Linked DNA regions of Callithrix jacchus. The protein of the gene in region 3 interacts with the protein of the main gene of each other region in a pairwise test. Links are inferred from orthologs where the notes say so. Each region holds a gene or a part of one and is shown on either strand. Other genes may lie near its edges.

Region 1 (4,591 bases), on a different chromosome or scaffold from region 3:
CGTTCTGGAGAAAAAAAAGATTACAGGCGGCGGGACAGTATCCTGGGGATAGAAGCCTGCTCTTACTCTCTAACCCAGTGGTTCTCAAACTCTTTGGTCCCAGGACCCCTTTATACTCTTAAAAAGGGGGTCCCAAGAGCGTTTGTTTCAATGGGTTCTGTTAATATCATGCAAATCAGAAGTGAAAACTAAGAAAACTTGGACATAAGTATCTGCCATTAGTCATCACAGTGAGGGTGTCTTCTCATCATGTAGCCTCTGGAAAGCTGCACTACCTGCCTGAGAATGAGTGTGAAAGGCAAACAGTGTTAGGAAAATAGGCTTGACACCACGGCACCCCCCGGAAAGGGAGTCAGGACCCCTAGGGCTCCCTGGACCACATGGTGAGAACCACTTTTCCACCCAGCCATCCCTTCACGGGGTCCCTGGCTGTTCCACCCAGAGCTCCTGCTGTGCCTGTGCCAGGCTGCTGCCAAGCCCTGAAGATCTGGGTCCTGCTCTGCCAGGGCAGGGTCCTCCTCCTCACCCCTTGGGTCGCTGTGTCTCAGAGCCATCCTTTTCCTTTCTGCTGTGATTGCCTTCATCACTGCTGTGCCGTCTCTTCTTCCCCAGATGCTTCTGCATCTCCCGCAGAGGGTCCAGGCGGCTCTTTATTTTCTCATCTGGGGCTGGGCCAGGCGGGGGACCCCCTCGCTCTGGTGGGAGCTGGTACCAAGGGGGTTGAGTCTGGGCCTCGGCTGCACTCTGGCCCAGGTATGTCAGGATGCCCAGAGCTTTCTCTTGTCTCTCCTGAGGGGTCAGGAAATAAAAGAGATGGGATATAATCTTTCAGGGTGTCAGGTTTATCTCCCTGACACAGGTATCTAAGGCCTATGGTGAAGCAGCTGTGCCAGGTGCTGGGGAGGGAAGAGACCAGCAGAGGCCAAGCTCCTGCCCTGGGGTGACGATAGCAGGGACAGTCACAGAAAGCAGAGGAAGGAGGGGATGGGGTGGAGCTGCCTGAATGTTCAGAGGCAGGCATCTTTGCAGGGAGCAAGCAAAGCAAGAGGACCCGTGGGTGGGGTCAGCAAGTCCAGAGACAGCAGGTGAGGAACAGGAGCTTTTACACTCGATCTTAGCCAAAAGGCAAGAAGTGATTGATTCACTTTTTTTTTTTTTTTTTTCCTGAGATTGAGTCTCACTCTTGCCACCCAGGCTAGAGTGCTGTGGCACGATCTCAGCTCACTGCAGCTTCCACCTCCTGGGTTCAAGCGATTCTCCTGCCTCAGCCTCTGGGACTAAAGGTGCATGCCACCATGCTCAGCTAACTTTTTTTGTATTTTTAGTAGAGATACCATGTTGACCAGGCTGGTCTTGAACTCCTGACCGCGGGTGATCTGCCCACCTCAGTTTCCCAAAATGCTGGGATTACAGGCATGAGCCACCACCAAGCTGATTTAGATTTTTAAAAGCTCATCAGGTTTGAGACCCCTCCAGTTTGGAGACCTGAGCAGTTCACCTAGCAGCTGGGGATCTCGAGCATCTACCTCCAAGCCCTGAGGGCACCCAAATGGCAACAGCCACCACTTCTGAGTGTGCTTTGGTATGGTTCTAAATTCTGAGTGTTCACTCTTGTTTAGCCTTAGTCACAACCAATGGCTAAAGTGTCCCTCCCCCCAGCTCCATTCATGTCTCTGATGAAGTAGATAAGGCCAGCTTACTTTCTCCTGTCGCTTTTCTTCCTCGTGCTCTTTATTGCCTCTGATCAGGCCTTTCCCCTCCTCCAGCAGCTCTCGAAACAGGTCCACAGGGCCAGAACTTGGGGCTCCCACCTCTGCTGCCTCAAGCTCAGGCAGTGAGTTCTGATGTCTGGCTTTCTTCCGTAGGAATTCTGTACGGGCCTGGGGAGAAAGTTACAGGCAAGACATTAAAAACCTAAAGGTAATTCAAGAACTTTTAAGTCTGGTGCGCACCACAGGAAACAGCAGTCCAGGGTGCTGGGTTTGTAAGAAAGGGGGCACCTGTCCTAGCAGGGGTGAGGGTAGGCAGATAAGGCAACACCTGGGTTTTGTAAACTGCCTTTCAAATAGTAAACCACACATCAAGGATGGCTGGGAGGAGGTCCCTGGCCTAAACCAAAGGGGTTCCTAACCTCAAGTGAGACAATTAAAACAGCTATAAAGGTAGAACAAACTGCATTAGGTCAGATGATCTGGATTCCAGGCATGGCTCCAAGTCATTACCCCAAGTCCATTGATGAAGCCCGGTCTCCCACCTTCAGGACAAAGCTCTCAGCAGCCTACTGAGATTCTAAAAACCCAGACTACCTCCCTCCCAGTGTGGAGGATCAGACTGGCTAAGGAACTGAAAGTTAGGTGTACACCAAACAGATTTAAGGAGCTATACATAAAGCCCATGTTTGTGTGTGTGTCTGGGGGTGGTGCAGGGAAAGGGCTCGCCCAAGGGGGTGGAGACTTCCCCTCCCTTGACGCCATCTCACTTCGTGCCACGGAGATGACAATGCCTCTTTAAGAAAGAACGGTGCTTAAGGGGGATTCTGGAAGTCAGGCGTTCTGCATGCAGTTAGCATACAGTAACTGCTCAATAAATAGACTGTGCAAGCCAACTAGAAAGTGATCCGAATTTCCTCAAACTGTCCAAGGAATCCTGAATTCGGTAAACATTTATGCTTCTCTTTTGTGCTAGACACTGCTCTAGCCATGTGAAATACATCAGTGGGGGGAAACAAGACGAGGGGGCGATCAAGGGAGATTTCATGCAAGTGGGCACAACGTTTGCCGAGCAACGTTTCGGAAAAGAGGTCCGCGCCGGGTCACGAATTACATACGGGGCACACGGCGCCTGCGCAACGCGTCCACTTCCGGCCCCCTACCATGGCGCCTGCGCGCTGGGCCCCGGAGTTCCGCCCGGCCGGTTCCCAGGCTTACCTCCTGCTGAGCCAGCAGCACCCTCCGCTCACGCTCCTTCTCTTCCTCCCGGGCCTGGGCCTCGTCACGCCGCACGCGGGCAACATTGTCCTTGTTCCGGACGTGCCAGCTCTTCTTGGGCAAGATATTCATGGCGTCGTAGCAGTCCACGGACTGGCACGCCCGCCTCTCTGCACTTCCGATTGGCGAGAGAATGCCCCTTCCCTCTTGTCCCTACTTCGACCACAGATTGGTTCTTAACTCATTGGTACGGCCCCCTGGCCTGTAACGACAGGTGATTGGCTAAGACGCCCTTTATCTCAGCGAATGCCAGGCTTTTGGCGCGTGGTATCCCCTAGCAACCGCTTTTCACATATCCGAGCCAATCGCAAGTTGGCCCTCCCCTAATGCCAGATTCGGCCGCCGATTGGCCAACACAACCATCAAGTCTCCTTGCGGAAGAGCACTTCGAACGGCCACACATTCCCATGCATTTGATTGGCTCCCGCCCTGATGTAGCCCTGCCCCCACCTTCAGGACGCAGATTTCAAAGCGCGCTCAGTCACCTCGGCTGTGTTTATTCATAGAAGAAAGATCACCCGAGAGTCTGGGACGTGGCGGCGAGGGTCTCTGGAAACCTCCAGATCCTAGAGCTGGAAGAGCGTGGGGTCTTCTCTAGTTCTCCTAGTTTTACAGATGTGACCTAGGCTTACAATTGGCCTGGAGTCTGAAGGTGGGACATGGGCTGCAGGGGTCAAAAAGCCGGGTGGGTGGAGCTCAGCGCCACAGCGCGCCGTGCGAGGAAGACTTTGTTCTGCGCCTCCTGAGGCAAAGAGAGGTGGAGGTCAGACAGCCCTCTCCCCCAATGCCTTTCAATGTCCCCCACGGGGTCCCTCTCAGGGACCCGCCTGGCTCACCGTCTCTCTCTGACGTTTGAGCTGAGAGATGAGACGACCGTAGGAGTTAGCCAGAGCCACAGTGTACGCCATCAGGATGCTGGAGGAGACACGAACAGAAGCCACTCCTGACACGCTCCTCCATTCTATACAAACCCCTGGCTCCTTCAAAGCCAGGATGTCATCTACAAGGACTTCAGTCTCCCAGCCCAGGAGTCCTAAGTCCCACCCTCCTCCTCCTCCTCCTTTGGACCCTAGGCCTCCTCCCACCCCGAGCCTCTCCTCTCTCCGACGCAGGTGGTGGCCCCCAGATCACGTGCATTCAAACCCAGACCCAGAAGTCTGGGCAAACTCACCTGGAAATCAGCAGAAGGGGTACAGCAAAAGCCTGAGTCCCCAGGAAGAAGAGGAAGTTCTGGGCGGTCTCAGGGAGGCTGGAAATAGACTCAGGGATCTGGGCCCAGATGGACGACTGCCCCCGGAATGGACCACATAGCTTAGAAGGTGGGATCCTGAAGTCAAGATAGGCTGGGCTCACGTAGAGCCAGGAGTCTGAACGCTGAACGCAGGGAGAGGGAGGGAAAGAGGCAGGAGCCTCTCGCACTTACAGGAAGATGCTGTAAAGCAGAGGAACGCTGGAGATGGCCAGACCCAGGAGAAGGACCAGGGGGAAAAAGAAATTCGCTGTGGAGGCCCGGAACGTGCGGGCAGCCGGAGAGCAGGTGAAGAAGAGGGTGAGCTGGCAGGGGAAGGCACAGAGGAAGGGGATCTGAAACAACGGTCTGTGCC
Region 2 (4,422 bases), on a different chromosome or scaffold from region 3:
CCTGAGTCCTGACCCCCAGGAAGTTCTTGCTGCCAACACCTGGCCACAAACCTGACACAGCAATACCAATGCTTGTGAAAACTGAGCATGACACATGACTGAAAAACACATGCACTTCCCAAGAATAATGCCTTTCCCTCGGAAGGGAAGTTCCAAGTTCTGGCATGTGTGTTCCCGCGCAGGACCCGTCTTCTTCCTCCGCCTCCTCCTCTTCTCTCCCTCTCTTATCTCCCACACGAGTGCTCAGGGGCAGGCAGGGGACAAGGTCAGAGACCACTGGAATATGCGGGCTCCTCAAAGCCTTCAGGGCCACCCCCAGGCACATCCATCCCCCAACCCAGCCCTCTATTGATAGGCTCTATCTCCCAGCGTCCTGGGCAGGGCCCGCCACTGGCCTGGAATGGCATCGGATTGGAGCTGGGCCTCTGTGTGCGGTGAAGCCTGGATCCAGGGCGAATACAGGGAGGGTAGCCTGGCCCAAAGAGCGATTCAGCTGGCCAGCTCAGCACCTTCCTCACACCAGGCATCTTCATACACCCACAAGGCAGCTCCTGCTCTCATGCCCTCTTACAGAAGGAGAAACCACCTTACCTGGCACATGAAGGAGGGGATCACCCTGTGGAAGGTGGAGCCTTTGTAGCCGAAGCCCTTCTCACCAGTGCACAAGGCTCTGAAGTTCTCTGAGGGTCGAAGGGAGACACAGGTCAACAGGGCCAGGCCCCAATTCCAGGGTCATACCTGTTCCAGCCAAAATCCCTGCTACACCCCCAGCAGTGAACGGGGGGATAAAGACCCTGGTCCACCATCTTGGGTCGGCTCTGTCCAACTCGCTATATAACTGAACAAGTCACAGTCACTCCCCTGCCCTGACCTCAGTGCCTGAGCACTGTGACAAGAGTATAGTTTACGGCTGTATTAGCACCAGTGGAGCAGGGACTCAAGCACTGATTGTGCATCACCCTGCCTCATCGGGCACCAGGAAGGGGGAAGTCTCTGGGAAATTTATTACATGTGCCTTCCACCAGCTCTGAGGCTCCCAGCTACTATGAAAGAGGAGGGCAGAGCCAACGATGAGGCCCACATAGGGACATAAGGGCTGCCCCAGAGCACCCAGTGTCTGAGCCACACATGGAGCTCCCATCCATCAGGGATCTGTGAGCCCCAACTCTTCTCACCACTCCACCCACCTTGCCCTGCCTGGCCCCCTTCCCTCTAGACCCATCTCAGAAGGCCCAGGCCCTGTCTTACCAGCTGTCTTTGGGACAACATCTGCCTTCAGCTGTGGGGAGAGAAGAGGGACAAAAGAGGATGGTCATTGGAGAGGCAGGAGAAGGTGGGTATCTCTCAGCACCCACCGCAGCTGCCAAGAGGCTGAGGTGGAAGCATGTGGCCATTCCATTTCTGTTACTGCCAACCCCTGTGGGAGGCAGCCCTATCATTTCTGTGAGCCATTTCCTGAACCCAGCGCTGGAGGAGGTGGCCTTGTTTCCCTAATCTGTCAGAAGAGATGACAATGCTATCTTGGCCTACTTCTGGGAACACAGCTGGCAGTGCTCCCACACTGGCCCAAAACATCAGAAACTCGGGGGCAACAGAGCGGGTCTAAGGTAGGACCCGGTCCAGCTCCTCAATTTGGGGATGGTAAACTGAGGCCCAGGGAGAGGAAGTGCTCCCACATCTGGGCCCAAAACATCAGAAACTCAAGGGCAACAAGGCGGGTCTTAGGTAGAAGCCAGTTCAGCTCCTCAATTGGGGGAAGGGAAACTGAGGCACAGGGAGGGGCATGAAGGTGTGGGGAGGGAAGGCTGAAACCCCATCCCAGCAAGCCTCTAGCCTCAAAGCAGCAAGAGCCACCCTGGAACCAAATGGAAGCAGGAAGGGTGTCCCTATTTTCCAGAAGTAACTGAGACTCAACAAGAAATATCAAGGGCTCCCTCGGAAACGGGCCAGTCAACACGAACTGTCCCCTGCTGTCAATGTGGGGCCGGCGGGAAGCCTCCACTAGGGCTTTCCCTCTAAAGTTACCCTGGTGACTCTTTCTTATTTTGCTTTAGAAAGGGCCCAAAGAAAGAGTCAGGGCAGGTGCTGAGTGTGGACCCCAAGGACGGTGGCAGGGCTTGAGGCTCGGGGGCACACTGTGTGAGTGTGTCCCGACTTGCAGGAGGGGCATTCAGAGGTCCACCAGGTGGCCAAGGCCTGAGGCCTGCTGGGCCTACACTACTGCTGGAAAACACCTCTAGTTTCATTTTCCAGCCCCCCAGTGTAAGCCTGACCCGGTGGCGGGGCCAGAGTCAGGGCGTGCTCCACGTTGTACAAGGGCTGCCACGTGAGTGGCACAACGAGTGAGCCACAACTCTTACCCCAAGACCCCCAACACCCACCTCAGAGCTTCAGGTCTAGGCTGAGCCCCTGAAGACTCCTGGAGCCCCTCATTTCTCCCGGGGCTGGCCCGGGGGTGCTGGTCCCTCCCCTCTGCAATCTGACCTTGAGCTTTCTCCTCCACACGTTCCCTCCCTGTCTCCTTCGCTCCAGTGCTCCGAAGGAGGCCGGAAGAGACCAATCTGACGCCCCTTCTCAGAAACAGGGAAACTGAGGCCCAGAACCCAGCAAGCGGGGGATCCAAGCTCACCCAGCGCGCCCGGGGCCCAGGGCTCTCCCGAGCCCGTGCCCGGCGCCCAGGCCAGCCCTGCGAGCGGTCTCACCTCCAACACCACGCGGCCGAGCGGCTGCCCGTCGGCGCCCACGTCTAGGTACACGAGCGGGTTCCCGGGGGAGGAGGAAGAGGACGGGTCGCCGGCGCCCTTGCTGCAGGCGCGGGCCGCGGGGAGGCGCAGCGGCACAGAGCGCGGGACGGAGAGCAGGCCGAGCCGGCGGGAACCGCAGCGCAGCGCCAGCATCGTGGGCGCGGATCCGGCGGGACACCGGCGGGGAGAACACAGAACTCCGAAACGTAGGTCGCGCGCGACCAGAAAGCAGAGTCCCGGGCGGCCGCTCGCCGCAGCCTTTATTCGCCTGGCCGAGTTCGCAGCCCCGCCCCAGTCCCGCCTCCTCCAGGCCTGTCCGTGGGCGACCCCTGCCGGTCGCGGCGGGCAGCGCAGCCAGCCGGTGGAGCCGCGAGGCGCGAATTGCTTTGGAACACTCCCGCCTCCAGGCCGGGAGAACCCAGAGCACAGACACCACCCGGCAAAAGGATGCTAGTTCCATGTTTATGAAGGTACCAGCAGATGGTTTTAAAAAGGAAAAATGCTAAAACATAATTAGTTCCCAAATATGAGCGTCTACATGCTGCAATTTGAATATAATAACAAAAGTCTACCTTTGAGCCCTTTATAGGTAAGGCTCAGGCCAAATAGCTTCCCTGCCGCCCTAGGTCCTGCAGTCGGAGAGGGTTAGAGAAAGGTGAAATGAGAAGCGGGATTAGTGAGCCGGAGGCACAGGAGGGAGGAGGTAAGCTGAGACGCTTCCCATGATGCCCCGCAGCCTGTCTCGGCCTGGGCCTGTCTCTAGTTGTTTCTAGGGACCAGATCTGCTTCCAGCAAGACTGAAAACGCAGCCTGGGCCTGCCATGCTCCTTCCAGGTCCCCAGCCCTCCCCAGGACTGGGTCTGACTCCCACCTCCTAGGACTCACGCTTACAGCTCCCCACCAACCCCACGGCTCTGCCAGATGCTAACTCAGACCGCCACCTGCCCCTCCCATCAGCATGCACCCTGGGAGGGGACTCAGTGGGGACATCCGCAGCAGGAGCGTTTAAACCCCATGTACCCAGAGTAGGCTTCCCAGCAGCCAGAGCCATCCTCATTGCGAGGTGGTGGGAAGCCTGCAATAAATGGACACGAGGCATGGACCTGAGAGAGCATCCGGCCCAACACTTGTACTGTGCCCAGGGGAAAAGCTGAGGCCCGGACATAGGAGGGCACTGGCTAGAACTAGGGAGCCCTAGAGTCCTGCTGCAAGCTTGCACAGTGTTCCCAGGCCTCTCTGGGCCAGTTTCCCATCTGGGGGTGTGATCACGCTCCTCACCCTGCCTTTTTCCCAGGTCTGTTCTTAGGATAAAATGAACTAGAGAGAGATGGATTTGTCAACTAAGTACTGTGCCTATGGGCATCTGTCATGGACAGAGTCTGGACTACCTTTCTCAGGGTTTGAGATTCAGAGAGCAGTGGCCTCAGAGGCCTGAGTGGCCAGAGAAAGGGGTGGGGCTGAGCCTTGGAGGCAGGTGGGCTTGAGCAGGGACTGGCTCTGGATTGACCTGCCCCAGATCCTGAATTGGCTCATAGGAACCGGTAGGGCAGCAAAATGCTAGCCAAGCAAATTCATGAGGTCAGAGCACTGTCCCTGCTTCATGAGATTGCTAGCTTGGCCTCTGGCAGTTTGGAAGTTTGGCTAGCTTGGCTTCTGGAAGTTCGTATCCCCCTTCTAT
Region 3 (4,477 bases):
TCAGTGGAACCTCTGGGCCTCATTCTGGAGGAGACTTTGACTCGGTAAGGTTGCCCATGGTCGCACGGCCTGTGACTGCGCTCAGTCCTGGTTTTATCAAGGTAAAGCCTTTTCTTCTCCCAGTGAAAACAGCTCCCTTGCCCTGGGTTTGGGAGATCAAAGGCATTCTTGCTCATTGCAAATAATTCGGAAAACAGAGTCGAGTGTAAAGAAGAAATGAAAGGCAATGCAGTCCAGTTAAACAGAGGGAGATAACCAGGAATGACATTTCCAGGAATTGCCCTATACTTTGGGAATTTTTTCCTAGGATTACCACAAATGCACATTTGCACATTTATTCTACATAAAATATAACGTGTGCACATTCGATGCCATCCTTTTTTTTTTTTTTTTTTTTTTTTGAGACGGAGTCTCACTCTGTCGCCCAGGCTGGAGTACAACGGCAAGATTTCGGCTCACTGCAATCTTTGCCTCCTGGGCTCAAGTGATTCTCCTGCGTAAGTCTCCCAAGTAGCTGGAATTACAGGACTGCGCCACCACATCTAGGTAATTTTTGTAATTTTAGTAGAGACGGGTTTTCACCATGTTGGCGAGGCTGGTCTCGAACCGGTGACCTCCAGTGATCAGCCCGCCTTGGCCTCCCAAAGTGCTAGGATTACCGGCGTGACCACGGCGCCTGGCCGCCATCACTTAGGCATGTGTTTCATGTAGGAAATGTCTAAGACCATAATCACTACTGTGTGTGCTACCCCCCCGCGCGCGCGTGAACTCAGGCCCCTCTGGACGGACAATGGGGACCCCTGACCACTTACATCTTTGGAAACACGCCTCCCAGCGCTCCGGAACCTCAGGGCAGGACTCGTCGCAGCAGCAAGTAGGACCCGCTGGGGGCGCACAGCCCACCTGAATCATTGTAACTACAAGTCCCAGCAGCCCCTGGTGCGGGGACTGGACGCCGCGACCGGAGTCCGGAGAGACTACAAGTCCCGGCAGGCAGGGTCCAGACGAAGGCACTACGAGTCCCAGAATGCATCGCTCCTAGCTTGCGCAGGGAACCCTGGGAGATGTAGTCGTTGAGGAAGCTAATGCCTATTCATTCCATCTCAAAGAAGATGCAAATTCTTCAGACAGTCCACTGAGATGAGTTTTCTCAGGCAGGCCAGGCGCGTGGGCGAAAAACGGGGGGAAAAAAGCCCTGGGAAGCCGATACCGTCGCGGGAGAAGCCAGCCTGCGCATGCTCACCGGGAGGCCGAGCGGGAAAAGTGCGCGTAGTGGGCCTCGCCGCCCGCACGCCCCGCCCCGGCCCCGGCCCCACCCCCGGGCCTGCGCGCCCAGTGAGCCTGCGCGGAGGGCGGGGGCCGAGCGTCGCGGGGAGGGGCTCGCGGCGCCTGCGCAGAGCGGCGGCTTCTCTCGCGAGGACGGACGCCATTATCGCATCTCCCCGACAAACACCACGAGAATTCCGCAGCCCACACGGTAATTGCAGCTCCCGCAGCCGGTCGCGCCTCCGCCTCCCCCTTCCCGCGGGGCGAGAGCGAGAGCGAGATCTCCCTCCTCCCTCCTCCTCCTCCTCCTCCCCCTCCCGCCCGCCGGGCCGTCCGCGCCGCAGCCCCGCCGCCGCCAACTGTCTGGGCCGGGCGAGCGCCCCCAGCTCCTCGCTCCCCGTCCCTGGCCGCGCCCCGGAAGAGGGGCTCCCGCTTCCTCGCTTCCGCACCCCCTGCCCCGCCGCGCCCCGGCGTCCGTTGGGCCGCGGCTGCCGTAGCCCGGCCCGGGGGCCTCGAGCTCCCGATCTCTGCTCCGGGGCCGCGGCGGGGAGACTGGAAAGGCCTAGAACCGCGCCCGTGCTCCTCGGGGGACCGAGGTCTCCCTCGGGGGTGGCTCCTGCCAGCCAGCCGTGAGCGACGGGCACCGTTTCTGTGCCTCCTCCATGGCTGTGGACAGGAGCCCCAGTAGCCCAGGACTTGCACGCGGAAGCCTCCGGCGCGCAGCGAAACGGGCGATCTCAGGGCTGCCGCCGAGCTCGGCGAGGACCCCAGCCCGTTCCCGGGGGCCCCCTCCTCAGCGCCTGTGTGCGAGTTCTGTGGTGCAGCCCCTAAAAAGGGGGCCGTTTGTTTTTCCCTGGGGTGCAGAAAGTAGATGACGTTCCATCCCCACTGTGTGAGCGCACTGGAGACAGTGCCTTGCTGGAGGGGACTGTGGTTTTTCCCTGAGGACGTGGCAGGGCTTGTCTTGCTCTTGGGGAGATACATCAGCCCTGAAGAACTGTGAGCAGGTGCACGAGTGTGGGCTCTGAACGGTGGCGAGCTCGCACCCTCCCCGGGGAGGCCCGGGCCGCACAGTTGATGTGGAGCCGGTCATTCTCTGTTTGGAGTTGCCTGTCTGCCCGGGAATGTACTCCAGGGCCTGATGGCGTTGGCGGAACTTGCGCTGCAATAAATAACCGATAAGAGGAGGCAGTCTTAGGGTACACTTGTAGCTGGAAGTTCTTGGGGGACAGAAAAATAGCTCGGAGTAGTGAGTGGTTCTGAGGAAGATCAGAAAACATCAAATTAAAACTAGATCTGGTCATTTCGCCCGCAGCTCGCAAATACCCAGTGCTAGAAGAAAACACCGAAACGAGGTGAAACTGTATGTAGGTGCATTTCCCCTGCCTTGCAATTCAAATAAGAATATATTCATAAGCTGCAGCAAGTACCACTGGGCAGGGAGACCTCCACCCAGGCTGCGCTGGAGGCAGTGGGAAGACGCCCAGGTAGAAGAGCATCGAGGGTCTGGCGGGGCCCATAGCCTACGGAGCTGAGCCTCGGGGCTGACAGCATTCCAGGCTGAAGGCCCCCAGCAGGCTCCGATCCACATGTTAACAGGTGATTATTGTTAATAAACAGGTGTTCTGTATTTACTTACAACTCAAGAAATATTCCAGGTAGGCAGTTGTTACCCGCTTACCACTAACTGAAAGGTCCTCTCCACAAGGGAGCCACGGGGCCAGGGCAAACTTAATGTTTCTCAGCAATGTTGGATTCTGTGCTCACTGGTTTTAATGTTTTTATTTTCTGGAGGCAGGATTTTAACTGTCTGCCAGGCTGGAATGCAGTGTGGTGATCTTGGCTCACTGCAGCCTCAACCTCCCTGGCTCAAGTGATCCTCCCACCACAGCCTCCCAGGTAGCTGGGACCACAGGTGCCACCACACCTGGCTAATTTTTGTATAGTGGGGGGGGTTTCGCCTTGTTTCCCAGGCTGTGGCTTTAATCTTTAAAAAAAAAAGAGCTTCAGGCTGTGGGGGCAGCTCAACATCTTGCATCCTTCACCGTGACCCCCACTCCATAGATGAGGTGATGTGGCTGCAGATGCTGAGGGCATGTGTGCAGATGCACAGAGCCAGGGCTCCAGTTCAGTCTCTCTAAGCTGATGTTCTTAAAAAACACACCCCATCCATTCAGTGTTTTAATCAACATAGTGTATACAGCAGCCATGTCAGTGGAAGACTTACATGAAAAGCAGTGTCCCCTGCCCCACCTCCCAGCCCCATTCTTCAAAGCCTGGTTTCTTGAGGTCCTTCTCCATAGCTCTAAGTAAGCTGGTCTTTTCATTTGTTTTTGAGATAGGATCTCCCTGTGTTCCACAGACTCTACCCAGCCCTGGTGACCCTCAGCCTCCTTAGTAGTTGTTGCAGGCATGAGCTGCCACACCTGTTGCCCAGGGTGGGCTTTAACGTGCCCTTTAAGCTGATACTTTCTTTTTTTTTGAGATGGAGTTTCGCTCTTGTTACCCAGGCTGGAGCGCAATGGCGTGATCTCGGCTCACTGCAACCTCTGCCTCCTGGGTTCCGGCAATTCTGCCTCAGCCTCCTGAGTAGCTGGGATTACAGGCACGAGCCACCGTGCCCAGCTAAGTTTTTGTATTTTTAGAAGAGACGGGATTTCACCGTGTTGACCAGGATGGTCTCGATCTCTTGACCTCGTGATCCACCCATCTCGGCCTCCCAAAGTGCTGGGATTACAGGCTTGAGCCACCGCCCCTGGCCTAAGCTGATACTTTTTTTACTCAGCCTTGACTTTGTGTTATGATGGGTGACGGATCCCTTCTGTCACATGCCGCCTCCTCCATCTCATGTACCCTGTTTTCAGGGTAGGGTCAGGTCCCCTCCTTCTTCAGCCTCTCAGCTTTTTCTGTAACCTGCACACGAGCCAGCCTGATCATTTCCCTTCTTCTATGGCTGGGTGTGTTCAGGACTCCATGTTCATGTCAGCGTTGTTCATTTCAACGTGAACCCCTGCCAGGTGCTCTTCCTCCCTGTGGAGAACCTTCTCCCTCCCTGAATCCTTTCTGATCGTCTCTGGTGTTCGTGGTGTTTTACTGTGTGCTGAAGTGTGGATTCCTACTCTGGTACTGTGACTCTGGTGGCCGGTCCTTCAGCTCTGGGGAGCTCCCTCGTCGCGTCTGAGACGGTCTTCCTCTCCCGTTCTGCCCTTCT
Region 4 (3,806 bases), on a different chromosome or scaffold from region 3:
AAGTGGAGCAGTCCATGCAAAGGGTGAAAAGTCTCGAGAGCCAAGGGTTAAGGCTTCCTAATCCAAGCTTTCCCACTAATTTCTGCCTAGACTTTAATCAAATTTCTTAATAAACTTCTAAGGGGTTTAAAGAGGATATTACCCAACCATGCTATACCAGGCATTCCACAGTCAGCATCAAATTACAGAACGGTAAATGAGAAAGTAAGGTCAAAAGACAAGACTTAGAACTACTACTAATGGTGCTAAAGACCCTAAGTCAGAGCTTTCAGAGGTTCATATTCTTTCTCTCCTCTAGAAACCTTGAAATTCAGAGTCCTACTCACCTGCGTAGTGATAAATATTGGTTGTGAAGCCACAGGGGAACTAGTCACATGATTGGCATTCTGCATGACCTGAACAGGTCTCAATACTGGTTGAGTAACCATTGTGCCCAGACCTGGGGCTGGATTCTGGGTCAGGATGAGCGGCTGTCCACCTTGCTGGACCAGAGGGTTGCCAGCTAAAAGGTTAAGCGGGGGGAAAAAAAAGGAACGTTAAAAACAATGAATGTTAAACCTACATTTTATTTTATTTATTTGAGACAGGATATCGCTCTGTCACCCAGGCTGGAGTGCAGTGGCACAGTCATGGGTCCCTGCAGCCTCAACTTCCTGGGCTTGAGCCATATTTCCACCTCAGCCTCCCAAGTACAAATCCACATTTTGTAAGAAACAGAAATGATGTCCCAGACGCCAAAATATCCAAGACTGACACTCACCATGTTTAATGTGACCAAACTCGCCAAAAATTTAAGCTTCACCCAAATCTACAACTAACAGAAAAACAGATGGGTAGGGGAGGTTCACTAACATTTCACCCATATGTCTTAACTGGGGATGAAAGACACATTAGAATTCTATGTGACTATCACCTTGACTCTCATGATTTAAGGTGACCACACATAATCTCCCCCACCAAATCAGCACAGAACAAAATATGTTAAGTCTTTTTCCATATTTTAACTAGGTAAAACCTATTTTATTAGAATATAATTTGTTAGCTAATCCCCCTTAATTCTTTAAAAACAATATTCATCAACAAACATTAATTCAGCAAGTACACAGAATCTGAAGAATGGTTTCTCTTCCTAGTAAGTTAAATCTGAGAAATGCAAGATTCTTTAAGCAACCACTGTCTTTTAGAAGGGGACCCAGAGACTGACAGGCTACCTACCACCTTTCTCTGCATGTCATCAGGGCTGATAAACAGAAGACCCAGACAAAAACTAACCCACACCAAGTAAAAATGACATGATTTCAGAAGATAATCATTCATTCATGAATAAAAATATGAATAAACAGGGCTATTACTGAAATATCTTCAACTCTTCATTTGTGAGAAAATAATTTCATAAATATTTTTAAGTCCCCTATTTCATGACATTTGGTGAAAACAAAAATCAACACTAAGTTTCCTGATATACAAAGAATACTCAAAACCAGATAGAGAATTTCAGAGAGCCAATATACCTAGGCGAAAGAGTCAAGCAGGCTAGGCACAGTGGCTCACACCTGTAATCCCAGCATTTGGGAGAGTGAGGCAGGTGAATCACTTGGGGCCAGGAGTTCAAGACCAGCCTGGCCAACATGACAAAACCCCGTCTCTGCTAAAAATACAAAAATTAGCTGAGCATGATGGTGCATACCTGTAATTCCAGCTACTTGGGAAGTTGAGGCAGAATTGCTTGAACCAGGGAGGTGGAGGTTGCAGTGAGCCAAGATTGTGCCACTGCACTCCAGCCCGGGAAACAGAGCAAGACTCTGTCTCAAAAAACAAAAAACCAAAGAGTTAAGCAAAATATTGTCTCAACTTTTTACCCAAAATCACCAGAATAGGACAGGCCCCTCTGAAATGTACATTCCACTTGGCAGGTCCATCACCACAGTTAACTACAAAGCTACACCACCAAAGGAATAGGTATGTAGGTGGCTACTAATGGGCCAGCAGTGGCTCATCTCACACTCTCTCAGAAACTGAGAGCTCATCAGTAGACTAGACCCTCAGTTACTGAGCCAGAAGACTAGTGATTGTAGAGGCAGCTAGACAAATAAAACAGAGAATTCCAGCAAGTTCTATCCATGTTAAATTATACTGGCAATGTATTGATGGTGGGTTTTTAAAATCTTTTAAATGCTTTATTATGGAGAAGTTAAAACATACAAAGAAACAGAACACTACGGTGAACCCCTCCCTATACACCACCCTGCTTCGTTAATTATTAACGCACGGCAAGTCTTAGTTCATCTATACCTCCTATACATGTACTAGTTCCCATATTACTTTAAAACGAGTTCTAGATCATATCATCTACAAATATTTCAAAATGTACCTCCTACATAAGGATTTCAAAAAAAGATAAAGAATCATACCAACATAACTCCCGAACATTTAATATCAAATACCCAGTCAAAATTCAAATTTACTTATTTGCATTTTTTAAAGCGTTTGTCTGAATCCAGTTACAAAATGTTGGCAAAGTGCAATGGATGAACAACACTCAAGTCTTTTAATCCACAGGTTCCCCAACCATCTCTTTCTATCCTTTTGAAATTTATAGTTGAAAAACATTGACTAAGCAGAAGTCTGGATTTTCTAGTCATTGTTTTAACTGCTAGGACAAAAGAAAATAAATTATCTCGTTTATCCTAATCCTAAAAAACATTTAGATAATTCCCGGCTATCATATCCAGTTTGGGAAGATAAAAAAAAAAAAGATAATTCCTGGCTCAACATCCCAATTAAATACAAGAAGGGAAAGATGGAGGTTTTTTGCATTTATGTGAAATCAATCAGCATTCCCAAGTCTCTTACAGACAGACCAGGTTTCCATGAAACCCATAAATACCATTATAAAAAATGTTAACAGCATTTTCTCCAAATATTTTCCCTTATATCAGGGTCAAGTCTAAATTCTGGTGGAATGTTAGAATTTTTCCAAAAATATGGGACAAAGAAAATAGTGGTTTTCAAAGACCAGATTAGATTCACGATTCAATGGAAAGCAAAAGCCAGACTATGGAAAGTCACACTGGGTAAATTATACCTGCTTATTTAGAAGCATTTTAAATAATTTCTGCAATCTTTTAAACCTTAGCTCAAAGGAATTCTGACAATTCAAGTGTCTTACAAGGTTCTCTTTCCAGAGGATGAAAAGGCAATTAGAATTCTGGTACTTTAAAAAAAAGCCTTTAAAAGGATTATCCAGCCTGGAGCAGTGGTAGGCACCAGTAGTCCCAGCTATTCAAGAGGCTGAAGCAGGAGGATCACTTGGGCCCAGGAGTTTGAGTCCAACCTGGGCAACACAGTGAGACCCCAACACAAAAACAAAACAAGGCTCACGTCTATAATATCAGCACTTTGGGAGGCTGAGGCAGGCGGATCACTTGAGGTTGAAACCAGCCTGGCCAACATGGTGAAAGCTCACCTCCACTAAAAATACAAAAGTTAGCTGGGCATGGTGGCACATGCCTGTAACCCCAGCTATTTGGGTGACTGAGGCACAACAATCATTCAAATCCAGGCAGCGGAGGCTGCAGTGAGCCAAGATCCTGCTACTGCACTCCAGCCTGGGCAGCAGTGTGAGAAAGACTCAAAATAAAAAACAAAAAACAGCCAGGTGTGGTGATGTGTGCCTGTAGTTCCAGCTACTTGGGGGCCTGAGGCGGGAGGATCGTTTGAGCTTGGGAGGTGGAGGATACAGTGAGCCAGCCATGTTCGTGCCACTACTACACTCCTGCCTGGGTAAGAGAGTGAGACCCTATCTC
Region 5 (3,806 bases), on a different chromosome or scaffold from region 3:
TCCAGGGACAGGGCCCCAGGGGATGTCTGGGCCCACTTTGGTAAGGGGCTTGCTTGTGGCAGCGTGGGAAGGTGTGGCACTTGGAGGCAACCTGAGGTGTGGTCACTTCCATGGCTTGTTTACTCAATGGGGAGAGCAAACTTAGCATAGCACATAGAAGTCCCATGGTGCCAGCACTATGGTCCTGTGAGTGTCCACCTGCTGCATTCTTCCCTGACACACCCCCTCTGCTGCCCTTTCCTGAGCACCAGGTACCCAGAGTCGACTCAGCCCCATCTTGCAGAGTCACTTCAGCATCCCCCAAGCCTCCTGCTTAGAAACACTGGCCAAGTCATAGTCCCTGCCAGGTCTGTGAATGCCCACCCTCCATCTATTGTGTGTGTCCCTGCCTTCTCTTGTTGAGCACTCCCTGGGGGTGTCTGCCTGCCTGGCCCCTATGATCATACCAGCTTCAGGCAGCCCCCACTTGGTGGAATCTGGGTCAGTTCTGAGGTCCCCTTGCCTGGAGCCTTTCTGCTGCCCTGAGGAGGGCCCTCTTGGTGGGAGGGGCTGCCAGCCAGGTCCCGGGTTATCGGCCCAACACCCCATTTCAGGAGGTATCCTGCACTTCCCTCCCACGGCCAGGATGGAGGTTTATTGGTTGACCACTGCACTCTCCTCCTTGGCTTTCCCAGCCCCTGGCCTCCAGAAGTGCCTGTGCCCCTACCTGGGCTACTCAGGGTAGGTAAGACCTTGAGCAGGGAGTCTGCCCACCCCCACTGGCCTTCAGTCCTTCACCCCAGGGCCTTCTGGGGGGTTCCTGGCTACTGGCTCCTCTCTAAATCCCATTTTCTACAGGGTGGCTAAGATTGTCCTTGACTTTATATGGATATCCAGCCTTTGGTGTGAGTAGGAGAGTGGGGAAAGTATTTGGAATCAGGAAGGCCGTCTCTAAGGTTGATCCAGTGAATCTGGGTGGCAGGGCCTGGATCAGAAAGGGTTCATGCTGGCTGCCAGGCTGGGTTTGTGGGGGCAGAGCATCACCAGAGTGGGTGGGGTGGGCCAGTGCCAGCCTCCTCCACTGCCTTGCCTGCCGTCGGTGCCCAGGTGTCCTTTATTGAGAAAGGGGTGGGGCCTGGTGGTACTGGGGTCCTTCCACCCTGCTGAAAGGGTCTCCTGGCTGCATCTCAGCTAACATCCCTTCCCTCCTGTTGGGCAGCCAAAGCAGCTGAGTTCCAGATAAACACTGTCAGACCCGGCCTGTAGGCTGCTCCATTGCCAATGAACTCCATGAACCCCATGAAACCTGCCCTGCCCCCCGCGCCACACGGGTGAGTGTGGACCCCTCTACCCACCCCTCAGGTCCTGGGGTTGGGGGTGGCATTTCCGGAAGGTCCTGGACTCTGGACACCGATGGCTTCCGGACCCAGGCCTCAGCAGCCTCTCTCCCTGCAGTGATGGTTCATTTGCGTACGAGTCTGTGCCTTGGCAACAAAGCGCCACTCAGCCGGCTGGATCACTGTCCGTGGTCACTACTGTGTGGGGAGTTGGCAACGCAACGCAGAGCCAGGTAAGCACCCACTGGGACCCCATCCCCAAGTAGACAGAGCCTCCCAGCACTTGGCAGTGCTTAGTGCCTCCTTAAAGCTCTGAGAGGCTGAGAGGTGAGGATGGAGAGGCTGAGGCTTACATGAGGATGGGGCCTCCTGAGTCCCCTAAATCTTAGGACACTGGTTCTCTTTCCACACCTGCTGTGAGATTTTCTTCTCCGGTCTTCACCTAGCCTTCACAGGATGCCCCGACCTACCTGTGGACAGCTGCTTTCCCTGCTTCTGTGTGATACCCCGTCCCCTCCACCAATCCCCCAACCCGCTTGGCAGGACTCTTGGTTTCTAGCACTTTGGAGCTGCTGCATGAAGCATGTTGTTTGGCTGGTTGCCTTTGGTGATTCCTGCTTCCTCATAGGTTTTGGGGAACCCCATGGGCCCTGCAGGGAGTCCCTCTGGCGGCTCCATGATGCCTGGTGTGGCAGGGGGCAGCTCCGCCTTGACCTCCCCACAGTGCCTGGGACAGCAGGCGTTTGCTGAAGGTGGTGCCAACAAGGGCTACGTGCAGCAAGGCGTGTACAGTCGCGGGGGCTACCCTGGGGCCCCCGGCTTCGCCACCGGGTAAGCAGGTCCCCTCACCTGGCAGGTGTGCTAGGAGCCATCAACCTGGCAGGCACCTCAGGACTGTGGCACTGATCAGCTGGACGTTGCCTCTCTGCTTTCCGCCAGCTCCGACAGCTGTCATGGAGGGTCTAGAAAGAATGGGCTCCCCCTGGGTGCTGCATGCCTCTGGGGTGAGCATGGTCCTGGCCCTCATGAGCCCATGCAGAGAGCGTGGCAATCCTGTGTCTCCTGCAGGTATGCCGGCGGACCGGGGGGCCTGGGCCTCCCCTCACACGCTGCAAGACCCTCCACTGACTTCACACAAGCGGCAGCTGCTGCCGCAGTGGCTGCTGCTGCAGCCACGGCCACGGCCACGGCCACAGCCACCGTGGCTGCTCTCCAGGAGAAGCAGAGCCAGGAGCTGAGCCAGTATGGAGCGGTGAGCCCCCTCAGCAGCTCCTCCCACATGGCAGCCAGCCTGAGGGCCTGGGAGGAGGTATTCCTCCCGGCAGCGGGCTCCAGGGACAAGCATGGAATACGCCAGGGCTCACGAGGCCAGGAAAAGAGATGTGTGGGAAGAAGTGAGGGTCTGAGGGGAGGTTTCTGGGCTGTCCTGTGAAACGGTATGGTGCCCACCCTGGTGGGTGGGTGGGTGGTGTCTCTACCTTGTGGAGCCCTTTGTGGGTGGGGCCTAGACCATTCTTCTTTATTCTCTTCCTAGATGGGGGCCGGACAGTCTTTTAACAGCCAGTTTCTGCAGCATGGAGGTCCCCGGGGGCCTAGTGTCCCCACTGGCATGAACCCTACTGGCATGGGAGGGGTGATGGGCCCCTCCGGCCTCTCCCCCATGGCTATGAACCCCACCCGGGCAGCAGGAATGGCACCCTTGTATGCAGGGCAGCGCCTGCCTCAACATGGGTATCCTGGGCCTCCCCAGGCCCAGCCACTGCCCCGACAGGGGGTCAAGAGAACTTACTCTGAGGTGAGTGTCCAGATCACCTAGTTTGGGGCCTTGGGTACCAACTCCCTCACCCAGGCACCCTTTAGAGCTGTGGTAAAGAACGGGCTTCTGCCGGGTGCAGTGGCTCATTCCTGTAGTCCCTATACTTTGGGAGGCTGAGGAGGGTGGAGCCCTTGAGCTCAGGAGTTTGAGACTAGCCTGGGCAACAGGGTGAAACCCTGTCTCTACAAAAATTAGCCTGGGGTGGTGGCACGTGGAGCGCCTGAGCCCAAAAAGTCGAGGGTGCAGAGAGATGTGATTGCTCCCCTGCACTCCAGGCTGGGCAACGGGAGTTAGACCCTGTTTCAAAAACAAGAGTAAAGGCCAGGTGCAGTGGTTCACACCTGTAACCCCAGCACTTTGGCAGGTGGATTACTTGAGGTCAGGAGTTCGAGACCAGCCTGGCCAACGTGGTGAAACCCCATCTCTACTAATAATACAAAAAATTAGCTGGGCGTGGTGGTGCTCACCTGTAATCCCAGCTACTTGGGAGGCTGAGGCAGGAGAATCACTCGAACCTGGGAGGTGGAGGCTGCAGTGAGCCAAGATCATGCCACTGTACTTCAGCCTAGGTGACAAAATGAGACTGTTTCAAAAAAAAAAAAAGGCTTCTGCGTGTGAGAACTGCCTATGCCAGACAGTGTCACAGCAGAATCTTCAAGGGGACCAAGAAATCT
Region 6 (3,700 bases), on a different chromosome or scaffold from region 3:
TCTGCGGCTACGGTTCGGATCACTATCCACTGGATTACACTCCTGGCAAACTACTAGCCCAACCAAATCCACAAGACAACAACATCACAAGGGCAAAGGAGGAAATCCATGCACAGCCATTTCAGGATCTCTTGGGGCTATGATACAGTGATGATTAAAGGTAGAATGACACCTGTGGTGAGGAAGGGAGAGTGTGTGATATATATATATATATATGTGTGTGTGTATATATATCACAGAAAACCAATGGGGCTCCTTACTCTTAGCTAGCAATCAACACTGGATAGTTTCCTTTTGGCTCACTGACTTTTAAATCAAGTTCCAATATGGGTGAGAACATATTAAAGCACTTGTCTTCAGACTACAATTTTCTGACCACAAGGTGAAATGTGTATAGTGAAGAAAACAGCAGTTATACAAATATTTCACCCAAAGCACAAACTTTTGACATCAAAAAACATAAATCACATAATATACAAATATTGCTTTTTATCTCTTTTTATATATACTTGTTCAATGCATTTACCTATCAATCCTTGTTTGGGAGATTAATCCTTAATCTCTTGCTGGGAAAACGTCAACAATCCCTTTGGTCCCAAAGCTGAAAACAGCTGAGAAAAGCACACATCTAGAAAGGAACAAGAAACAGAGGCCACCAAAGAATCTTTTGAACATCCTGTTTTGCTACGTTTCAGAAAATGTAACATTGGTATATTATAAAATAGTCATTTTCATAGAAAAGATGGTTCTTGCAGCATCAGTCACATCTCCCTTTAGGAATCATGTTTGCAAGGGTGTGTCTGTGTGTGTCTACTATCTGTCGACAGTTGTGTGTGTGTTTTAAAGAAGTCTAATTCGAAAACAATGTGATATTGTCTCTTCAAAGATAAAGAATGAGACCTTTCTTGTTTCAATCAGTGCTTTGATAAAAAGCAGGCTAAGCACTGAGGGTTGGCGTACACGAGTGGGGCAGAGCCATCACAGGGGGTCCTTTCTTCCAGAAGCCTCACCATCACATGTCACTGGAAAGCTGGAGCACATCACAGCTGACCAGAAGCGCACGATGCCATCAGAATCCAGTGATCTGAGGAGGTTCCCAATTTCCCAGAACAAGAGCCACGTAGCACTGTGACCTATCCTTCAGCTTCCTCAATTGGTTCTGGTGGTGGGAGCAGAGAAGCTGATGACATGACTGTACTTGTTCCTCGAGAGACTCGGTCTTGCTCTGTGTTTGTAGACAGGGAGGCCATAGCAATAGGTTGCAGCAGAGTGGTGGTCATGCCAGTGGTGACTGTCAGGCTGTGGCCAGAGCCCTTGAGTGTAAGATCAGGAGTGGGAAGGAGTGGCTTGAGGATGCTGACGAGGCAGAAAGCAGATCCACTTTTAGGAATGAAATTCACCTTGTTTTTGTCAGGACAATAAAAGGCTGGGATTTCATGAAGCTGTTTTGGCCTAAACACAGAACAGACAACCCAATGCTTTTTAGTCACTGAACTTAAAAAAGAAGCTTGGAAACAAGCTTTTAAAACACAGTTAACTTACAGCACAGAAAAGGAATATAAAACTCAAGCTCAATCAAAAGCTGCAAACACCAAGGACCAAAGTGCTATCTGACATATGATTCAACATATGCATCTCAGAGTGCAAGAAGTCCCCATCATCACTGCTGATTTCAGTTCCCTCAACAGCCCCGTTACCACGCAGGTGGCTCAGGCAGATGAGCACTGCATGTGAATGAAGAGCTAAGACAATCAAGGGAATAATAAATTTCCTATAATGAAAGAAAATCTAGATGTTTAAAGATGCCATAATTTTTCTAAGGTCTGTAGTATACTGGAGGGAAACAGCAAAGAAACTGAAGACATACAATGTCTGTCTTTTGTTAAGCTCCACCACTGCATGACTAAATTATGGTAGGCATGGGTTTTCTCTTCAAGTGCTTATAAAAATCTCTTTGATTGAAACAATTCTGTGAGTTAACCATGATAGTTTTCTGAGCAATATAATGTAAATGTGAAATAAAAATTAAAAACTCCTTTGCTTTGAAAGTTTTTATTAAAGGCAAATTCTTCCCTTGTCCTAGGTCCTCCTGAAAATTAACCTGAATTGTTGAAAAATATATTGGCATTAATGATATTTCATGAAAATTAAAAGTATAAAAAACTACATTATTAAAGTTAACATAGAAATGCCACAAAATTAAAGCAAAATTAAGGTAGAAGAACCTAAATCAATCCTCTCTTCCAATGACAATAAAATCTAAGTCAACCTGCGTGGTGGTTCATACTTGTAATTCCAGCACTTTGGGAGTCTGAGCAGGGAGATTACTTGAGCCCAAAAGTTCTACACCAGCCTGGGCAACATGGTGAGACCTCATCTCTGTAAAAACCTTAAAAAAAATTATCTAGTGTGGTGGCCTGCACCTGTAGTCCAGCTACCTAGGAGGCTGAGGTGGGATAATGGCTTGATCCTGGGAGGTGGAGGTTGTAGTGAGCCATAACTGGGCCACTGCACTCCAGCCTGGGTAGCAGAGCAATATCCTGTCTCAATAAAACAAATCTAAATCAGTTCAATAAAAATCTAAGTGTGCCAAATATGCACTAAATTCTGAGAACACAAAGTTGAAACAATCCACAGGAGGAGGTGGACTAAATTTATAGTTCTTGTGGGGTGAAGAGTGATGGGGACAGAACTGTTTCAACATAATTAGCTTCCTTTATAATCTTGCGTGTATTATGCATTTAAAACATTATTCAGAGATGAGATCCACAAGCTTTACCAGACAGACTGCCAAAGATGTCCAGAGCACAGAAGAGGTTAAGACCTCGACAAGAGAATCTAACAGGTGATAACAAAGGTTTACAAAAAGGTTTAAAGGTAGCATGGGGGGCCTGGAGGAAGACGGAGGGTTTGGTAGTCATCCTCGGAGCTGGGTTTTGAAGAATGAGTAAACAGCAGATGGGGAGTGGGCACCAAAAAAATATGTGTTCCAAGTAGACAACGATTGGGGGGCAGGTTTTATTAATAGTGAACACTATGGACAGCTTTGGCAAATATAACAGTTCAGAACAAAGAAAAATATATCATGTAAGTTATGTTCTACTTGGGCACTATTCTTTGTTGATTACAATGAAAACTTAGTAATTTGAATACTTTCAGTGCCACAAGCATATTTGGATATGTTACTGATAAGAACAACACACACTCTTCTGTTTTTATCATCTGAGAACATGATTTTCAATATACTGAACTTGAGGAAGTTGAGGTTATGTTTTCATAATTAAATAATGCTTGAATTTTCCTATGCAGACAGAATTATTGAAGTAAACTTTCATATTTGTAGAATGAAAAACTTCTTGTAGAAAAAGAAAAGTCTAGTTAATTTTAATACTTCCATCCAAATGAGGCCTAGATTTTTGACTGACTTATTTGTTTATCTTCCTAAAAATGACTTAAGACACGTGGCCATTAACAGGTCTCTGAGATGAAACTTTACATTTCTGAAGTACAAAATTCCTGACTTAGATAAAAGTTCTTGATCTGGAATTGTTTTTTTAATGACAGGAATTGAAAAACGATTTTACGACCATATCCAAGTAACTGACTGTTCAGAGAAAGTTTCTAATTTGGAGGGCTTCTTAGCTTTTGCGATCTTCAAACGCTCTATTGGTGGTTGCTGTTTATAACTTTCATTTCATGA
Region 7 (3,806 bases), on a different chromosome or scaffold from region 3:
TCAAGGAAACCAGGCAGTACTTACCTCATTGACTATGTAATCCAACAACTCAAAAATTGCCATGGGAGGTCGGCTGTCCATTCCATATGCTACAAATTTTATAAAAAGAAAAAATACTTCTCAGAAACAGGAGATTACTTGTTAATATGAGGCAAGGGGTTGGGCATGGATCCCTAGGGCCAGAACAGGGTCATGGACAATAAACAGATTAAACAGCCACAGGTAAGGCTTGAACAGAGAGGGGACCAGCAAAGGCCAGGGTACAAGTCTGGGCTCTGCCACATCTTAAGTTTGTAACCTTTGGCAAATCAGTTCACTGCTGAGCCAAAGTTCTGAGTTTTGTAAAGCACAGGCATCATAATTTTGTCTGTCTTTTCCCTCCTCCTCCTGTTGAGAGAGAAGCAAATGAGAGAGCAGCTAAATAACTAAAGACCTTAATTTTAATTCTCCATGAACCTGCGTTTCTTCCTTTTGTCTCCTAGAATCATAGGCCAGCCTCAGAGGCCACAGCCACCAGGCCCTCCAATGACCTGTGAACAAGCTACCCCTAGCCCCCTCTGCTTTCCCCTTCATACAAGCTCTCTCTCATGTGGACCTCACAGAGGTAAAGGCAGGTATCCCTACCCAGACAGGAGCTACATAAAAAACAGATGGCTGGGTCAGGCTATTCCCTGAGTACCAGGCTTAGTTCCCATTATTCACGTTCAGCGAGGCAGGTGGTTCTGCACAGCGTTTATCATCCTGGGAGTCAGACTTGGCTACTTACAAGCCTATGTAGCCTTGACAAGTGCACTGTGCCTCAGTTTCCTCATCTTTAAAATGGAGATTATAATCATGTTCAAAAATGGAATGCTACTAAAATTACATAATGCTAGGCAAATCCGTGGACACAGAAAGTAGACTGGTGGTTGTCCGGGGATCAGGCTGGGGGGAGTGGGAGATGGGATTTCTTTCTGGGGTAATGTAAATGTTCCAGAATAAGACAGTGGTGATGGCTGCACAACATGGAACAATATACTAAAAACCACTGAACTACATACTTTAAAATGTGAATTTTGTCTTCTGTGAATTCTATTCCAATAAAAAATAAATCTACCAAAAGTCATGATTAAAAAACGAATTAGAACACAGTGGCTCATGCCTATAATCCCAGCACTTTGGGAGGTCAAGGCAGGAGCATCACTTGAGCCCAGGAGTTCCAGACCAGCCTAGACATAGCAAGACCTCATCTATACTAAAAAATTAAAAAATTAGCCAGGCATTGTGGTCTCAGCTACTCAGGAGGCTGAGGCAGGAAGATTACTTAAGCCCAAGAGGTCACGGCTGCAGTAAGCCATGATCACACCACTGCACTCCAGCCTGGGTGACAGGGCAAAACCCAGTATCCAAAAAGAAAAACCACAAATTAGAGGCCAGGCATGGTGGATCATGCTTGTAATCTCAGCACTTTGGGAGGCTGAGGCGGGAGGATTGTTTGAGCCCAAAAGTTTGAGCTTGAGTAACATAGGGAGACCATGTCTCTACAAAATAAAAAACAACTTGGCTGAGTGTGGTGGCATGTGACTGTAGTCCTAGCTACTCAGGAGGCTGAGGTAGGAGGATCACTTGGGCCTGGGAGGTTGAGGCTGCAGTGGGCTGTGATCATGCCACTGCACTCCAGCCTAGGTGACAAGAGTGAGCCCCTTCCCTCCCAAACCCCCTAATAAATTATAGCCTGTAGTCCCAGCCTACTCTGGAGGCTGAGGGAGGAAGACTGCTTGAGCCTAGGAGTTGAAGGCTGTAACTAGCCACTGCACTAGGCAACACAGCAAGACCATTATTCTTAAATAAAAAGATTAGATAATGTATGCAAAATGCTAAGTGCAGTTCCCAGAATACTGGGAACTGAACAAATGGTAGGAAGTTGTTGGTAATAACACTTTCCTACACCCACCTGGAGACCCCTGCTGTTTCTCCCTGCCCTAGTGTGGCATCCAGGGACACAGAATCAGTCTTGGCAAAATGTACGAAGAATCAGCCCTCCAGAAATCCCTGAAAGTAAGGGACCCCCACAGTCCAAGGTGGGGACACACGAGGCTACTCACAGCTAAGGGGCCTCCCAGGGGTCCTTGGCCTGGGTGGGGTCTCAGCCGCATCTCCCTCCACCTGGCACCCAAACATCAGCTCCAGCTCCTTGGCATCTGGAGGAGGGATGGGATACCTCCCAACTGCCATCTCTACCAGAGAGAGTCCCATGCTCCAGATGTCCGACTGCACAGAGTAATGAGTCCCCTGGAGTCTTTCTGGCTGCAGGAGAGACAAAGAGACAGTTATAATCACCTGACCTAACTTGGACCCCTGGATCTGCTAATGCATTTTCCCTTCTGTCCCTTCTGAATAGTTAATATACTGTTTCAAGAGCTCCACTAATCTCTTGAATTTGGCCTCCTGCCTGCCCCCAAATATTGTTGTTTACTAAATCCTAGCTAGCACCACTGTCTTTGACCCCTCCTCCCTGCTCTATCTCTCCTATAATCTGGACTAAACTAACAGACCACATGAATTGGCTTGGGCCTGGCTGCCACTTCAGCCTATGGTTAGCTTTACCCAGCTTGGCCACTGTCTTGCATGGGCAGGGAAGCCTGTCCAAAGCCCAGCATGAGAGGTTCATCTTGTTACTGAATCTGAAACATGAAGCTTGTGGAACTCGGGTTGGGAATGAGGTGGTGCTGTGGATACAGAGAACAAAAGATCTAGGATCAGTGGGTTTGAGACTTAAGTCCACTTACAAGCTAAAGGATCCTGAATCTCAGCCTCATCTATAAAATGGGGCTGCTGCTGGGCTGGGCGTGGTGGCTCATGCCTGTAATCCCAGCACTTTTTGAAGGCCAAAGCAGGCAGATAACATGAGGTCACGAGACCAGCCTGGCCAACATAGCGAAACCCCATCTCTACTAAAAATACAAAAATTAGCTGGACATGGTAGCAGGCACCTGTAATCCCAGCTACCTAGAAGGCTGAGACAGGAGAATCTCTTGAACCCAGAAGACGAAGGTTGCAGTGAGCCGCGATCACACCACTGCTCTCTGGCCTGGGCAACAAGAGCAAAAACTCCGTCACAAAAAAGAAAGAAAAAAAAAATGGGAGCTGCTGATGAAAATGACTAATATTTTATCACTGACATAACAAAACTCTACTTAGGGTTACTAAAAAGATCAAATCAAATGAAAATGTATGTCAGATGTTGCAGAATGTTATACAAATATTAGTTGATACTGGTGGGAAGAGCCAAAGAGAAAAAAAGTATACAGTGGTATACAAAAGCATTATTTTTAATGAGCATTATTTGAAATAGCACGTATTTCAAGAACCCTACCAAGAAAATCTTTACTCTGGCCATAGTATATCCATTTAGACATTAACTTCTCTCGTAGCATTTTTCACTAACTCCAACACTAGACTATTTTGGAACTGACCATATAATCACAAAAACTCAAATCACTAAACCCTTGATCAGTGAGTCCCAGGGCCTGTTAAAGGATTTTGAACTTGAGAGTTGGCAGTCAAATGGCCCAGGATGCCAGCTGTTCTATTAGACATTTAGGGAAGAAGCAGTGAGGAGATGACAGAAAAAGAGAGTTCTGCTGTGGATCACTGGGGGTGGGGAGATGTGGGTCAGTGCCAGGTAAGTAATGTTGACAGTGCCTGGAGTCACAGTGGGGGGCAGGCGCCAGCAAGAAGGAATGAGGATGTGTTCACACTGGGATCTGGACACAGGTGCCAAATCCTCCCTAAGAGGCAAATGAGGGTGTGCTGTGCAAAGGGCG

The links.
Region 1: the proteins of BANP (region 3) and LENG1 interact in binary tests that used the Homo sapiens proteins (3 or more experiments, as listed by UniProt). The two-hybrid records come from large-scale screens. The link is inferred for Callithrix jacchus from reciprocal best matches to the Homo sapiens genes BANP and LENG1.
Region 2: the proteins of BANP (region 3) and PPIF interact in binary tests that used the Homo sapiens proteins (3 or more experiments, as listed by UniProt). The two-hybrid records come from large-scale screens. The link is inferred for Callithrix jacchus from reciprocal best matches to the Homo sapiens genes BANP and PPIF.
Region 4: the proteins of BANP (region 3) and POGZ interact in binary tests that used the Homo sapiens proteins (3 or more experiments, as listed by UniProt). The two-hybrid records come from large-scale screens. The link is inferred for Callithrix jacchus from reciprocal best matches to the Homo sapiens genes BANP and POGZ.
Region 5: the proteins of BANP (region 3) and ZMIZ2 interact in binary tests that used the Homo sapiens proteins (3 or more experiments, as listed by UniProt). The two-hybrid records come from large-scale screens. The link is inferred for Callithrix jacchus from reciprocal best matches to the Homo sapiens genes BANP and ZMIZ2.
Region 6: the proteins of BANP (region 3) and FAM117B interact in binary tests that used the Homo sapiens proteins (3 or more experiments, as listed by UniProt). The two-hybrid records come from large-scale screens. The link is inferred for Callithrix jacchus from reciprocal best matches to the Homo sapiens genes BANP and FAM117B.
Region 7: the proteins of BANP (region 3) and MAP2K1 interact in binary tests that used the Homo sapiens proteins (3 or more experiments, as listed by UniProt). The two-hybrid records come from large-scale screens. The link is inferred for Callithrix jacchus from reciprocal best matches to the Homo sapiens genes BANP and MAP2K1.

The regions. Positions count from the first base shown.
Region 1 is NC_133523.1:47,340,189-47,344,779, forward strand, and holds the start of LENG1 (leukocyte receptor cluster member 1), read right to left. Parts: upstream 3,083-4,591; 5' UTR 3,060-3,082; coding exon 2,928-3,059; intron 1,881-2,927; coding exon 1,701-1,880; intron 790-1,700; coding exon 527-789; intron 1-526. Other genes in the region: voltage-gated chloride channel TMC4, read right to left, coding at 3,661-3,729, 3,824-3,902, 4,159-4,314, 4,411-4,541.
Region 2 is NC_133513.1:50,871,497-50,875,918, forward strand, and holds the start of PPIF (peptidyl-prolyl cis-trans isomerase F, mitochondrial), read right to left. Parts: upstream 2,981-4,422; 5' UTR 2,898-2,980; coding exon 2,703-2,897; intron 1,280-2,702; coding exon 1,249-1,279; intron 681-1,248; coding exon 592-680; intron 1-591. UniProt on the Homo sapiens protein: PPIase that catalyzes the cis-trans isomerization of proline imidic peptide bonds in oligopeptides and may therefore assist protein folding. Involved in regulation of the mitochondrial permeability transition pore (mPTP).
Region 3 is NC_133521.1:45,581,243-45,585,719, forward strand, and holds the start of BANP (protein BANP), read left to right. Parts: upstream 1-1,393; 5' UTR 1,394-1,477; exon of another isoform or gene 1,478-2,865; intron 2,866-4,477. UniProt on the Homo sapiens protein: Controls V(D)J recombination during T-cell development by repressing T-cell receptor (TCR) beta enhancer function. Binds to scaffold/matrix attachment region beta (S/MARbeta), an ATC-rich DNA sequence located upstream of the TCR beta enhancer.
Region 4 is NC_133519.1:11,336,940-11,340,745, forward strand, and holds part of POGZ (pogo transposable element with ZNF domain), read right to left. Parts: intron 503-3,806; coding exon 327-502; intron 1-326. UniProt on the Homo sapiens protein: Plays a role in mitotic cell cycle progression and is involved in kinetochore assembly and mitotic sister chromatid cohesion.
Region 5 is NC_133512.1:12,835,823-12,839,628, forward strand, and holds part of ZMIZ2 (zinc finger MIZ domain-containing protein 2), read left to right. Parts: intron 1-1,198; 5' UTR 1,199-1,260; coding exon 1,261-1,310; intron 1,311-1,434; coding exon 1,435-1,549; intron 1,550-1,944; coding exon 1,945-2,147; intron 2,148-2,384; coding exon 2,385-2,568; intron 2,569-2,850; coding exon 2,851-3,111; intron 3,112-3,806. UniProt on the Homo sapiens protein: Increases ligand-dependent transcriptional activity of AR and other nuclear hormone receptors.
Region 6 is NC_133507.1:123,900,842-123,904,541, reverse strand, and holds part of FAM117B (protein FAM117B), read right to left. Parts: intron 1,453-3,700; coding exon 1,134-1,452; 3' UTR 1-1,133.
Region 7 is NC_133509.1:13,516,085-13,519,890, reverse strand, and holds part of MAP2K1 (dual specificity mitogen-activated protein kinase kinase 1), read right to left. Parts: intron 2,287-3,806; coding exon 2,085-2,286; intron 90-2,084; coding exon 25-89; intron 1-24. UniProt on the Homo sapiens protein: Dual specificity protein kinase which acts as an essential component of the MAP kinase signal transduction pathway.